Lonchura striata: one gene and its partner. The protein of the gene in region 1 purifies or fractionates together with the protein of each later gene. This does not show direct contact. Links are inferred from orthologs where the notes say so. Each region holds a gene or a part of one and is shown on either strand. Other genes may lie near its edges.

The links. Proteins that work in one complex are often made in the same cells at the same time.
Region 2: the proteins of PDHA1 (region 1) and RAB7A fractionate together in Homo sapiens (co-fractionation; 3 studies listed by BioGRID, with this or other methods). This does not show direct contact. The link is inferred for Lonchura striata from reciprocal best matches to the Homo sapiens genes PDHA1 and RAB7A.

What each region holds. Positions count from the first base shown.
Region 1 is NC_134604.1:101,794,940-101,801,778, reverse strand, and holds the start of PDHA1 (pyruvate dehydrogenase E1 component subunit alpha, somatic form, mitochondrial), read right to left. Parts: upstream 3,014-6,839; 5' UTR 3,013-3,013; coding exon 2,851-3,012; intron 1,629-2,850; coding exon 1,614-1,628; intron 233-1,613; coding exon 164-232; intron 1-163. UniProt on the Homo sapiens protein: The pyruvate dehydrogenase complex catalyzes the overall conversion of pyruvate to acetyl-CoA and CO(2), and thereby links the glycolytic pathway to the tricarboxylic cycle.
Region 2 is NC_134614.1:12,813,306-12,820,825, reverse strand, and holds the start of RAB7A (ras-related protein Rab-7a), read left to right. Parts: upstream 1-4,515; 5' UTR 4,516-4,628; intron 4,629-7,520.

The DNA of each region.
Region 1 (6,839 bases):
ACAGTACTTCCAGCTGCACTTAGTAATCAGGTCAGATAGTGAGGGGTTTGGTTCTGGAAATTCAAACCGTATTTTCTAACTGAAAGAGACACGGGGACCAGTCCATCAGGTTAAGATCTCTAACAAATGCTTACAAAAAATGCCAGTATTAAGTGTTCTTTACCTTAATCTCAAATGTAGCTTCACTTGCGAAGTCTCCATAGTTACGTGATGCTACCACCACTCGAGAGGCCTTAAAAAAAAGGCAAAACCAAAGCATGAGCAATGTTTAAATGTCATTATCAAGTAAAAGTATGTGACTTTTCAAGTAATTTCTAAGAGTACTCCCAAAGTGAAATAACTTATAAATTAGACTCAGCAGTGGCATATCCCAGAAGACTAGGGAACTTTTAGTCTATATATCAAAATCCTTTAAAACCCATTATTTAAAATTAAGATTAGAAAAAGAGAATTTAAACTGGTAATACCCTTGATTATCTAAAATAAACCTAGTAAGTATCAAAACTTTTGACAATGAAGATCATCAAAACCACAAAAATAATTTTTTATCCCTTCACATGCCAGGCTGACAATATAAGGAGAGACAACCAACACAGACTTTGACTGCTGACTCTGTGCTAAATGGAATTTTGACTAGATAGAACAAAAAAAAAAAAAACACCCAAAACTAACCAAACAAAAGAAATACAGCAGATATCTGAAATGTAAACTACTCTCACTTTTTCTTTTCAATAGGAAGAGAAATTGGGGGAATTCAAAGCCATAAAAATGGAGAGAGAGAGAACATCATTTCTATGACAGCATGGCCAGTACTATGGCTACTCTAATAACGTGGAAACACAGAAGGTTCCTGAGGATACAAGAAACACAGAACAACAGAAAGGGTGGCATGGTAGAGGAGAGATAGGAAGGATGTCTAAAAATACATTACTGGTCCCTCTGAAAGAAGGAACACGGGCTGTTGACTAATGAATGGTGGTGATTTGAGATGACTTTAGCAAGTTTCACTGCAGCATCAGACAGGATGGCCCATGTCCATGCATGCACTGTGGCCACAGCATAAGGAACACTGCATCTTTAGTGGCAAGACTATACTGCTAATTAAGTTACACAAAAATTTCAGTAGCTCCTTCAGCCAGGAGGTAGATTCCAGCTGAAGGTAGATTCTACCAAAATTTTGAGAATGTTCAGGTCACCATCTCCAAAAAAGCTCTGACTGACACGTGTCAAGCTTGGGAGAAAATTCTCAACCCATCCTGGTTACCTCCTCTGTTGCATATCGATCAGATTTATCAGTAACACTGCCCCCATTCACCCTGCCCTGTTATCAGATTAAATATTTAGAAGTTTTAATTTAAACCTAGTTTCTACACTATTTACCACAATGTATCAGTATTATCAGTGAAGAAAAGCTATTTTACTTCTAGAGCTGGAAGTAAATCCACAGTATGGATTAACAGTATCACAGAATGGCCACGGTCAGGAGGGATCTCTTTAGGCCACCTGGTTAAACTCCTGGTTAAAAGCACACTGAGGAGTCTGAACCAAAGCCCTGATATGTAGGCAGTACATCTATCAAAAGTAAACCTTGACAAGACTGACTGAGGCCTTACCTCGCTAACGGCTCCCTAGGTTAGCAGCATTTGGAAGGGAAAAAAAAAAAAAAGAAGAGTAAGTAGCTGTATCAAATAATGAGGGGAGGAGAAGTCAGCAAATTATTATCCAACTAGAATAGAACACTGCAAGTGCTAGTTTCTATACATGGAAATCCATCTGTACACTCTGGAAAATGCTCAAAGCATATATGAGATACTGCTTTATAGATTAAGTCTGCCTCTATTTATTTGCTAATTTATGCCTTCACTGCAGAGCCATAGGAACAATACAAGACAAATATTTACATATTTGGTAAGCAGTAGGATCCAAAAAATCTTTATTGAAATATCTGAACCAGATTTACTTTGGCATTCCAGGAGAACACAGTATCTCCAGAGCAGGCCAAGTACTTGCAGTAACGGACAAATTTTAGGCACCCATATTTGCAAAATTTAATCTAGAAATTCTATTGTGAAGTAGGAAATACTCCTAGATATGCAGCCCAAAGAGAGATAGTGACAGCTTCCAGTAAATTTTCTCCCCTGTGTTTTTCTGATGGATGCAGTCATCCTCATACAGTGAATGCCTGGGTGAGAGAGCTGCCTCGGAAGGGGGCTGCAGCAACACATCTGCTCTCCATGGCAAAACGGCTCCTGATTTCCAGTTACCAAAAAAGTACCTTTTAACTCTGGCCTTACCAACAAGTTTTTTTTTCAGCAGGGTTAATTTTTCCTCGTGGCCACAGTCATTACAGTGGAATAAGCTGAATGAAGCGGTAAAAGCACAATTTTTCACACAACAAACATAAAATACAAGAAGTGACACTAATAAAAAAATAACGAACTTTGAAACACAATTGATGCAGAGGTAGAAAGGGGCCGCTGGCTGAGCGAAGGGAGGTCAAGCAGTGCAGTCAGAAGCTGAACTGCAAGCGGGCCGAGCGGATCGCCCTGCGGGAGCTGACCGCGCAGTCTAAGTAAGCACGGCCAGTATCGATCCAAGCCCTGCGCCATTATCGGCTTAAGAACCGAGCTCCTGACGCGACCACCATTTTACTGTCACTTGGGCTCGTCAGAGCGAGGGAAAGAAAAACCAACGCGGTTCTTTTCCCCATTAATTTTTCCTCAGCCGCTCCCTTCCGCCGCCGGGCCCCCGCTCCCGGGCCGCTCCCTCCGTCCCTCCCGGAGCCGTGCCCCCTCGCACCGCTCCGCTCCCGGCCGGGCCGCACCGGCCGCACTCAGCGGCCGCGCTCACCGTCCTCCCGGCGGCCGCCGGGCCCTGCAGCAATCGGGAGAGCGCGGCCAGCAGCATCTTGCGCATGGAGGGGAGGGTGGGCAGCGCTGCCCCGTCCGCCGCTCTCCTGCCGCCGCCTCGGCCGCGACCGCCGCCCGGCCTGCGCCCCCGCGCTCTGCGCATGCGCGGGCCTGCGCTGCGGCGGCCGCCCGGCCAACGCCCCCTGCCGGCCAGAGGCGAAATGTCATTAAAGGTCATGAAAGGTCATTAGTGTGGGGGAGATCGGGGTCCCTCACGCAGCCCCGGCGTCAAGGGGTTTGGGATCTTCGGAGGAATTTCTTCTCAGAAAGCGTGATTTGGCACTGAAATGGGCTGCCCAGGGGGCCGGTGGAGTCACCGTCCCCGGAGGTGTTTAAGGGAAGAGTGGACATGGCACTCAGTGCCGTGGTCCAGCTGACGTGGTGGTGTCGGGTCATGGGCTGGACTCGAGCTTATCAGAGATCTTTTCCAGCCTCATTGATTCTGTGGCTCCGTGTGAGCGCATTCCCTGGCTTTTAAAAGTATAAAGTGTTGAAACGGTTTCCCTTTAACGTCACAGGCATCCGTCCCTTGGGAAATGCACAGCAAAGTTAAGATTTAACTCGGTGTTGCAGGGTCCTCCCACCGTATGACAGCTGCCGATCTCTGCAGCCAGCCAGCCTCCGTTCCCTGCCGGCTGCGGGGCACGCCGGGGGCGGAAAACAAACAAAAAAACAAAACAAAACAAAACAAAAAAAACACCCGGAAAGTAAATCTCATTCACCTGTTGGCAGCACAAGTGCTTGTGTCTGCTGAGTCCTTGATTCCTGCGGGTTGCACAAAGCTCAAGTGCAGCACAAGTGATTAATTTTTAAAGCATAATTTCCAGGGAAAATGTGCCTCTCAAACTACCTCACCTCCATCAGAGAGGACTGAAAGTCCTATCTGTTTCCAAAATACAGCCTCATATGGATCCCCACTGTACTGTTCACCTCCTTCCTTGGCTTCCCCCCGTTCCATTAATAAAGACACTTGTGGCTAATGTGATTTTTTCCCTCACTTTGTCTGTAACACAGAGTAGGAAGGAGGTAGCCATCTCTCATCTCATAAAGATGCTGTGAAGAAGCCTAACTTTTCATATATTTGGTTAGTTCTTGCTCAGAAAAACAAACACAGGCTTGGTATCAGCTTGCTGGAGGACTGAAAATTAGCTAAACTTTCTTCAGCTTCTAGTGCTGGTGACAGTGCAGGGCACTGGCAGAGCTCAGCATCCTGTCTTTGTGCTGCTGCCCTGCAGCTTCCTTGACATGCACTTTGCCTTTAGGTAGGCCGGGATGTGTAAAAGAAGCAAAATAATACTACTGATTTTCACATCTAAGAAAAAAGCCTGAAAATAATATCACATTTGCAATCATGAAATCCATCCCGGAGTACCTGGATAGTGCAGTTTCCAGTGTCCCAAGGGATAAAGCAATTCTTGCTAACACATTGGTAAAGGCAAGTCTCTACAGGAACCTCTTGCGGAATCTTTACTGGCATGTAATGTGTTGGAAATTTGAATTTTGCAAGTCAGTTCTACACTACTAAGCAGATTTAGGCTTCCTTCATGAGGCAATAACATCAGCAACAGCAGCTGACCTCCAGGAAAACAAAGGGCAAAGTGAAAATATTGATCAGTTGTCTCAAAAGGCATTTTTCCTAGGGTGCCTTTAGTCTGTAGCACTTCACTGCTTGCAGAGCAAGTACTTGACAGCCTCCAGCAGATTTGCTGGAGATGTTGTCCTGCAGGCAGGAAGTGGCTCTGCTGCTAAAGACATTATCCTGAAGGACTGTGATTTCCCCCAGCTTCTCCAAGGTGCTGCAACACCCCCAGAGGTCCCAGGACAGTTCTAAATAGTGTCTGGAAGCATGCAACCTGCATTTTTTTTATCAGTCAGCCTGGACGTTCCTTGAGAGATTGCTGGTCGATTCATGCATATCAGTGGTGTTGATGCACCCACCAGTTGCCTCTGTGGGGCTCATGAGGCACACATAGGTCTGTCCTCCTTCCCACCTCAGGTTTATAGCAAGGCCAAGTGGCACCTGGGCTGGGATGATTTGCTCATGGGAGGATGCTTCAGCTGCAGAATTTCCTGGAGTGCATGGCAAAACAAGGATTCACCTTCTTCTTTTAATAGTTTTCACATTCTCCAAATGAGGTTCATCAAAAGAATGAAGTGTACTGGCATCTGTATGTAAGACAGGAAGCTTCTGGTAAATTTACATGCCAACTTCACCAAGCAACAGTGTGAAATAAAGGTTTCAAGAGATCACTGGATAATTGCTCCTGCTCAAAGGAAAATTATTATTGTTATTATTACAAAAGAATCCAGTCAAGATAATTTCAAGTTCAGTGTCATTACCTGTTCTTTCTCCTAATGAAAGAAAAAAAAAAGAGCCATTTTTATAGTTACACAATTATAGACAGAAGTTATCAACACTTCTAATAGTCATTGGAAATAGTTATTTAGATGGGAAATTATCCATTCTTGTCCACCCTGGAAATATAAAGTAAAGTACTGATTTATATCACCTCTGCCGATTTTTTTACTTTTCATGGTATTTCATTAATATTCATATATTTTCTTTATTAAAAGCTCTTAAAACATCCTGAAATTATTAAATTGTTCTACAGAAAACTAATGCAGAAAGCTAATTCATGAATGAGGTAAACAATGAAGAGGAAAACAAAATAAAATCATAAGCAGAAACGACACTAGAAAATAATTTCATGAAAGATGATTATGTAAGATTTCATAATGGAGTACCTTGCCATGTGTGACTTTAGTATTACATCAAGGGTGTGTTGCATGGCAGTTGGCCAAAACTCATCGTGTTCTATTGTTCTGGGTGTGATCCTAAAATGTTATTTTTCGGGTTGCAGCTGCTGTTACAAATGCTTGCCACTGGGTTGAAAGCAGAGGGGAGCATCCAGGACTCCCCTGGCAGTGTCTGCATCCAGGTGAAAGCAATCCCCACCTCATTCCAGGAGCCAGAAGTCTGCTGCATGATTTTTCTTCCTCCTGTGCCACCATAGCTCCAAGTCAGCAGGTAGGCAGGGTGGCTGCCAAGGAGCAGCTCGTGGCCACATTGCTTCAGCCTCATTTCCTCCGTGGGAGGATCCGTGCTGTGACACGCTTCCCCAGGTCTCCTGGGTGGCACCATATGGTGGCACCTTAAATTGCAGTCTCTGTTCTTCATGTTCATTTAAGTCAAAATGCTTGAAGCAAACTGAGGCCATGTAGCAGCCCTTCTGAGTGTCATTTAAATGGCAGTACTGGGGGGACTCTGCTGTGTGCTCGTCGTGAGAATCTCTGTGGTGGATGGTGAGCTGGCTCTGTTCATTTGGAGGACAGACTGGTGATGATGGTGGCATAATCTTATCTGTGCTGGTCACACAGCAGCTTCCAGATTCCTGCCCTGACTTCTTCCTGGTGGGAAGCAGTCAATTAACTCCGAGTGAGAGCACACAAGTGGATGGACATATTCAGATGTGAATGACAAGGGACCAGATCCTGGGACTGGGCCGAAGAATTAAGTTATCAAACACAACAGATGTAGTCTTAGTTCCTTTTCCATATTTCAAATCTAAACCACCAGCTTCACTCCAGATGCCTCCTCCCATTCTAAATATTAATAAATACACTATACTCTGTTTTAAACTGCTTAGCAAGAACAATCTTTTCTCTCATTATTCTTTGTTTTGCATTTCCATTTATTTATATTTTCCCATTTTTCTTCCTGTCCTCCACATTCTCATTCAATTTTCTTATCCAAGCATTTCTTTTATCATTATTCCTCTCTTCCTTTTCTCAGGTCTCCATTGCTTCTCTGCATTTCTTACTGAAAATGTCTCTATTTTGATCTGTCTCACATCCCTTCTGACTAGTTCCCATTCAGTCCTACAGGTTCTAGTGGTTCCAGCTTTAGACAGCAACATAGATGGAGGAAGT
Region 2 (7,520 bases), on another chromosome or scaffold:
TAGAGGGACACGGATCTGACAAAGTAGCTGACTCACTCTGGCCTCAGGGAAGTTACTTCACTCTCTGGATCATCTTCTCCAATTGAGTATGAGAACAATAATATGAAATTATCTGGCATACCTCCCAATGCAGCTATAAAAAAATAATTATCTGGTATTTAGGACTGGCTGTAAAAGTGGAAAGGTGATGGTGGTGTTGGAGAACCTCTGTAGATGGGGAGTCAGGGCAGCTGGGAGACCTGCAAGAGGCTCAGGTGATTGTCACCATTTGTGTGACAGCCTCATGAGTTTATGGTTATAAACAGTGGGTGCCTCTCTAGCCACAAGCACAAAGTCTGGGCCATGGAAGCATCTCTTCCCATGTGACACTAGACATTTCCATGGGCTTTGGTTTCCACTAGTCTAGGCCCAGATAACTACAGTAAGCACAAAGCCATGTGGTGCCCACCTTACATCATGACCAGCAGCACGGGCTTTTTTCTCCCTGCCTGTCTTGCCAGGGCCAACACAAATACTTGTCTAAGGATATCCCCTGTGATCTGTATGTTGCCCACAGCCTCTGCAGGGGGCTGACTTAAAGGCAGAGCAGGTGTTTGGACCTTCTCATCTCAGGGAGTGAGCTTGCATCTAAGGGAAGGTGCCAGCATTGCCACCTCCCAGTATCAAAGAGATGACAACTCTGCAGCAGTCTTGTGGCTGTCACTATTGAACAGGGGGAAGCTGTCAAAAGAGTCCAAAGCCATTTTTTTATGTGTCTCTTTTGTCTGGTGTGAGGGGACTTGGCACAATCCCACTTTGCATCCCTGCAGGTCAGCCCTGTCCTCCCTGTGGGACTCAGGTTGCAATGGCTGCATTTAGACCTTGTATCAGGGCTTTAAGATGTTCATCCTCCAGCATTTTCTCAGTGAGCACAGACATAATCCCTGCACTGAGTGCAATGTCCTCTGCACCACAGATTGGAGATCTGCCATGAGATAAAGTGACTGCAGTTGCTTCCTATAGTTGGTATCTGGTGATCAAGTCTTGTCCAGAGCTACCTTTTTGTTTTCATGTGATGCTGCTCTATGCCATAGAAACTATCAGAGGATTGCAAAGGTGAAAGCATTAATAGATTACCAGAACAGTGTTTGTACTGCAGGCAGGGATTAGGGACAGGACAGGCAAAAGACTGGGTCTGTGCTCTTGCCAGTGGAAATGCATAGGTGGTCATGCACTAGCAGATTTCTAATGAACAAAATGCCAGCAGAAGCAGGGGGAATCTGCTTTAGACAAGATAAATCAAAGCATGACAAAACTTGGAGCATCAAAGCAAAATTTTGTGTATTTACTGCATTTTAGTTCCCTTTTTGTATGTTAGATCATTATAATTATAATTTGAGAAAGCTGCTCTGGGAGGCCAAAAGTGACAAAGGAAAGCATTGCACAGCCAGCTGAGAGAGGACAGCCACACACAGGAGGCTCTGGACAGTCAGTTTTCACTGAGGCACAGCCACTCTAGGCTTGTGCTACATCTTTCTGGGCACAGAGGCAAAGAAAGGTTGTTCCCAGCAATGAGGAGAGGCTGCAGGACTCTGAAGAGCTGAAATAAGCTGAACAAGTATCAGGGGAATAAGGGAACTCTCCACAAGCTTTTAATGTCACAGATGGCCAGGGGTGGGGTAGCTGTGTGTCCACAGAAGAGGTGAACACATTAAGCACTGTGGGGAATCCCAGATGCTCTCAGCTCATCTCAGGGATCTATAGGTGCCACAGCTGAGGTGATGTCCTCCCTGGGCCTCTCTGCAGGTGTTTTTGTACCGGTGCTCACTGAGAAATTAGAAGGGAAAAGGAGGGGCTCTTTTGGTCTAAGGACAAAAGCAAAGAGGTGGTGTAAGACACATAATGTTTGATTGTCTCTAATTGGATCAGGAAGATTAGTAAATAGAGATTAGGTGACACAAAAGGAAGAAAATCAAAGCAGGAGACATTCTCACTTCCTGGTTTAGAGGAACGAGTGCATGAAATAGGTTGAGGTTTCTGCATCAGCAAATGTCTAAAGACCTGTTACTGTAACCTCAGAGATCCAGTCAGCTATGTGAATGCCCCTCAAGGATAGAGAATGGATTTCTTCAGAGCAGTGTTAGTGATTGGGAATGATAGGCATCTGATTTTCAAACTGATCCATTTTTATGGGTTTTCATTGGAGTTTGACATTTTAGTTTCCTTCACAAGCTGCTAAAGCTCAGTGTGCTGGGCTGCTTGCTGCAGCACACTCCAGTGTTCCCAGGGCACGTGGTTATTTTGATGGGGAGAGGACAGGGGGATATATCAAGAGCCATAGCTCAATACTTCCATTTGCTACTACCATCCTCCTACTTCCACTCTGCCACTATGAATGTAGCTCCCATCCTGGATAGCAGGGACCTGTCTCCTGCCACTGGTGCTCTGTATGTTCTTGGAAGCAAGCAGGATCTTGCCTCATCAGCTTAAGAAAATGCTGTGTTCCCACCGAGGACTGGAAAGCATCTTGTCAACAGCAAGTGGCCCAGGGAACTTTTTTGTGAAATTCTGCATAACAAAGGCCTGTAACAGGTGGTGCCAGGATTGCTCCGCAGTACAAGAGGAAATGTCACTCACAGTTCTTGTTTGCTTTACATATTGTGTAAAAAAAAAATTAAAAGGAAGCTTTTAGGAAAAGAGAGCTGAGGAACATCCACTAATTTGCCAAATAAAGTCTGCCCATGACAGCCCAGCACATGGGTCTCCTGTTAAAGGCAATGGACTGGGATAAGCCAGTGCTCTGCTCCACCAGCTGCTGATGTGCTGAAGGCTTTTCCTCTTTTGTCCAATCTGCATTTTAACTAATACCACGTTTTTCTGCAGCTCTTTGCATCTAATGGGGCACCCTAAAAGCACTAATAAACTGTTGCTAAACTTTTCTTTCTCTGGAGTCTGGAGCATCTCTCTTATGAGAAGACACTGTGGCAGCTGGGCCTGTGTAGTCTGAAGATTGAGAGGGTGTCTGTAATCCATACAAATATCTCAAAGGCAGGTGCCAAAAGGATGGTGCCAGACTCTTTTTGGTGGTGCCCAGTGACAGGACGAGGAGCAAAGGCCATAAACCAAAACACAAGAAGTTCCACCTCAACATGAGGAAGAATTTCTTTAGGCTGAGGGTGGCAGAGCCATGGAACAGCTGCTCAGGGAGGGCATGGAGTCTCGGGAGACATTCAGATCTCACCTGGACGTGTTCCTGTGTCACCTGCTCTGGGTGACCCTGCCTTGGCAGGGGGCTGGGCGGGATGATCTCCAGAGGTGTCTTCCAACCCCAACAAGTCTGTCATTGTGTGATTTTCTTTTTAATATTGCTAGAATATTGCCTCGGTCCTTTATTATCTTTCACTAGATTTAAAAATACTTTTTTCCCCTTGGTGTCTTTCCTGAGTTCATAAGCTAACTAAACCCACAGCAGTCACATGACTTTGATGAATAATAATATTCAAGTAATTGCTGAGTAACAAAATGAACTTGCTGCCAACACAGAGTAGAAATATGGATTTCACTTATACAACCAGGATAGTTATTATCCCATGGATTTAAGTCCAGAGACTTCAGAAGGCCCCATTTTACTTGCCTGCCTATTGATCTTGGTGCTGACAATTGCCTGGTTAATCAATCTAAATGTATATTCAACTGGCATCTTTTATCTTCTTTCCTGACAAGCACTGTTGCTACTACCCCACTTTAGATTACAGCTGCGAGTAAAAAATTACAAATATTAAACATATATAATCTAAAATGTAGTCTAAGTAATAGCTGAGGGTTTTTATCACATAGGAATGCAACTGCAGAGAACTCCGCGCTAGCTCTTCAATGCTATTTAGAAGACAGCGAAGAACAGATTTGTGCCTGTGTGTCCCCATCGTTTATTTCCGAAAGCACAAAGGCTTCTTTGGCCCTCCCGCCTCCCCTCAGCGCAGGGTGCGGTGTTCGCTGCCCTGCTGCGCTGGCAGCCGGCGGGGCAGGCAGGTCCCAGCGCAGCGCTGCCGTGCGTGCGGCCCGGCGGTACCAGCACATTCCGCCTGCACGGACCGGACCGGCGGTACCGCCGCATTCCCCCTGCACGGACCGGACCGGCGGTACCGCCGCATTCCCCCTGCACGGACCGGCCCGGCGGTACCAGCACATTCCGCCTGCACGGACCGGACCGGCGGTACCAGCACATTCACCCTGCACGGACCGGACCGCCGGTACCGCCGCATTCACCCTGCACGGACCCGGCCCGGCGGTACCAGCACATTCACCCTGCACGGACCGGCCCGGCGGCACCAGCACATTCCCCCTGCACGGACCGGCCCGGCGGTACCGCCGCACTCCCCCCGCCCAGAGCCGGCCCGGCGGTACCGCCGCACTCCCCCCGCCCAGAGCCGGCCCGGCGGTACCGCCGCACTCCCCCCGCCCAGAGCCGGCCCGGCGCCGGCCATGCGGGCGGGCCCGGTGACGTGGGGGCGGCGCGGTGACGCCGCGGCCCCGTGAGCGGAACTCGTCGGGGAGGCGGAAGCGAGCGCGGGAGGCGGCGGGGCCCATTAAAGCCGACGAGGCGGGCGGGGGGCGCAGCGATCGGGGTCGGGCCGCGGCGGCAGCACCAGGTGAGCCCGGCGGCCGCGCGCGCTGCCCGCGGGGCTGCGGGGGCGGCCTCGCCCCGGGCCGGGGCAGCCGCTGGCGGCCCCTCCCCGGCACCGGGGGGCCGCGGCGGAGGCGGCGCTGTCTCGGTGCTCCCGGCCGGCTTTGCACCGGGGCCCGGCTGGTTTGCCCGCCCCGAGGCGGGCTCAGGCGGCCGCGCCGCCTGGAGCCGGGCCCGGCGCTGCCCCGGGACGATACGGGGGGCTCTCCCCGGGACGGGGCTCCTCCCCGAGGGCCGCTCCCAGGACGCGCGTTCCGCCCGGCCTTTGTGGAGCCCGCTGTGCCGGGAGGCTTGGGGAGGCCCGAGCGGTGCCTCCCGGGGAGGGAGCGCTTTGTCTGCGGCGTGCGGAGCCGCTCCGGCTCCTCGGGAGGGTTCGGGGCGGCCGGCGGCCGAAGGAGGGCCGGGGCCGCGGGGGGACGGTGAAACGCTGCTCGGGGGGTCGGCGGGGAGCGCTTTTAGCATGACCCGGCACCCCGGGAGCAATTAAACTGGCCAAAGAGGTGGCCGAGGACACTGGCAGTTATTGCGAAAGTAGCTGTCGGTGTGTGTAAAGCCTGAGTCAGTTCTAAGAACTATTAGAGTGGACGTTAGAAGTGCTTTTGTCTGTAAGTGTGTAATAAGGTAAATTAAGTGATAGATACATTATTAGTTTCCCTATATATAGAGAGAGACTAATAAACATGGAAATGCCTGGTGGTTGTACTTAAGACAGTTGCACTCCCTGTAAATAGAGGGCTTATTTTAGTTGTAAAAACGGCTGTCTTAATCTGAAGTAGGATAGGTAACCTCAGCATCAAAATGTGTGTCTCACCTAGTACTCTCCGCCTTTTGTTCTCAAAGCTGGAAATTTCAGCATTATCTCCTGGAAAGCTACAAATGTTTGCTGATAAGCAGAGCTGTTGTGGTCTGTGTGTATGAGATTTTTATATGTAAACTGAGAACACATGACAGAATGAAGTCCCCCCCCCACAGCTGTAAGCAAGCTGTTCTTTGTCTGACACTTGCCAGCATGGAACCTTAAAGCTTTCAGTACTTGTCACTGGCTGGCCAGCGTTGGCCTATGCCGAACAGTCTGTATCCATGTGGGTATTGGGTTTGGGGAAGTGGAAGATTCTCTTTTTAGGGGAATGGTACATAAGTAGCTGTGCCACAGTGTTTTGGCTGGCTGTGACTTGAAGGCTGTGGTGGTACCAATGGCGTGTGAATAGCAGCTGCAGCCTGGCTCTGGTTCCAGTAGAACCAGGCTGCTGGAGTCAGTGTACCCTGCTCTCTCAGGAGCTGAATTTGAGGTTAAAGTGGGTGGAGTAATTTGAATATTCCTTGTTAAATAATCAAGGCTTCGTTGCTGTACTTACTCGGGAAGAACAAGTATACTTTTCTTTCCCCCTCTCCCTTGTGACTCCCAACAGCTGACTGAACACATGACTTGCCCTCCATGCACTAATGAGTGGACCCACCATGCCTGCCTGGCCTGAGTCCTCAGAATTAAAGCAGCTCTAGTACTGTTAACTTTACAGCATTGCCTTATTTGTTTATTTGGGGTGTATGTTTGTGTGTTTTGGATTTTTTTCTTTATTCTTTGTGCTGTTATGTTACTACCCTACGTCTGGTGTAGAAAAGCTGTTATGGGGCTAATCTGACCCCTCAATAATGAAGACTTCTGAAATCTCATAGCAGTTTCTTGCTCTCCCAGCATGTAGTGTGAAGTATAAGATGGGAGTAGCTGTGTTAAATGTTCTTCTTTCCTGTGGTGTCATGCAGTGGTCCCTGTCCTCAAACTCAAATACCCTCATAATAGCTCAGCACAGAATCACAGACTATTCCAAGTTGGAAGGGACACATAGGGATCATAGAAGTTCAATTCCTGGCCCTGTACAGGACACCCCCACATGTGCCTAAGAGTGTTCAAGTGCTCTTGAGCTCTGGCAGGCTTGGGGCCATGGCCATTTCCCTGGGGAGCCTGTTCCAGTGCCCAGCCACCCTTTCGGTGAAGAACTTTTTCCCTACAGCCAGCCTAAACCTGCTTTGACAAAGCTTCATGTTCTTTTCTTAATCCTGTCACTGGTCACCAGAGTGAAGAGGTGGGAAACAGGACACCCCGAGTTGTACCTTCAGGGTGACAAGTTAAGAATTTAAATAACTGTGTGGCAGAGTTTTCACTACAGGCATCCTGGCCCTCCTGTCAAAGCCAGGGAATCCAACTTTCTGAGCAGCACAGACATGTTAGAAGATTGATAGATCCTCAACTGAAAGTGTAAAATATACAAGCTCTGCTCTGAAGTGACCTGGGAGAGATATGACTTTGCTTAGTTTGCTAACCAAAATGAAGGCTTGTGAGCAGGAGGGTTACCAGATTTATTTTCTGCAGCACTTTCTTAAAGCTCATGTTTTAGGATACTTGTGTTGGATGGTTGTGAGAAGTACCTGTTGGAGCAAATCTCTGGCAAAGCTTGTCCTTGAGGAAACATAACAATTGCCATCAAACCATCTGTGCAAAACTATAAATAGTTCTGTCTCTAACATATATGGGATTTTGGTCTGACTTCTGTGTGAAAATGAGACTGTTTTATGCAGAACTTAACATTTGGCTGTAAACAACATTGGCTATGCTTGGTTAGGGTGTGTTTTTTAATGCTGCATTGTGAGAGAAGGTTTGCAGGTACCTGGCTTGAAAATAAGGGCTATGCAATAGGGCACTTAGATGTATTCTCTGAAACTGTTGGATGATGTGGGCTCACAAGTACTTATTGTTGCATGTCCTTGCCTTCAGAATGCAGCGATTTCGTTAGTGACTGAAGTAAACTGACCCTTTGTGAAACAAACACAGGACTCTCACCTTGCACGTGTCCATGTTTCC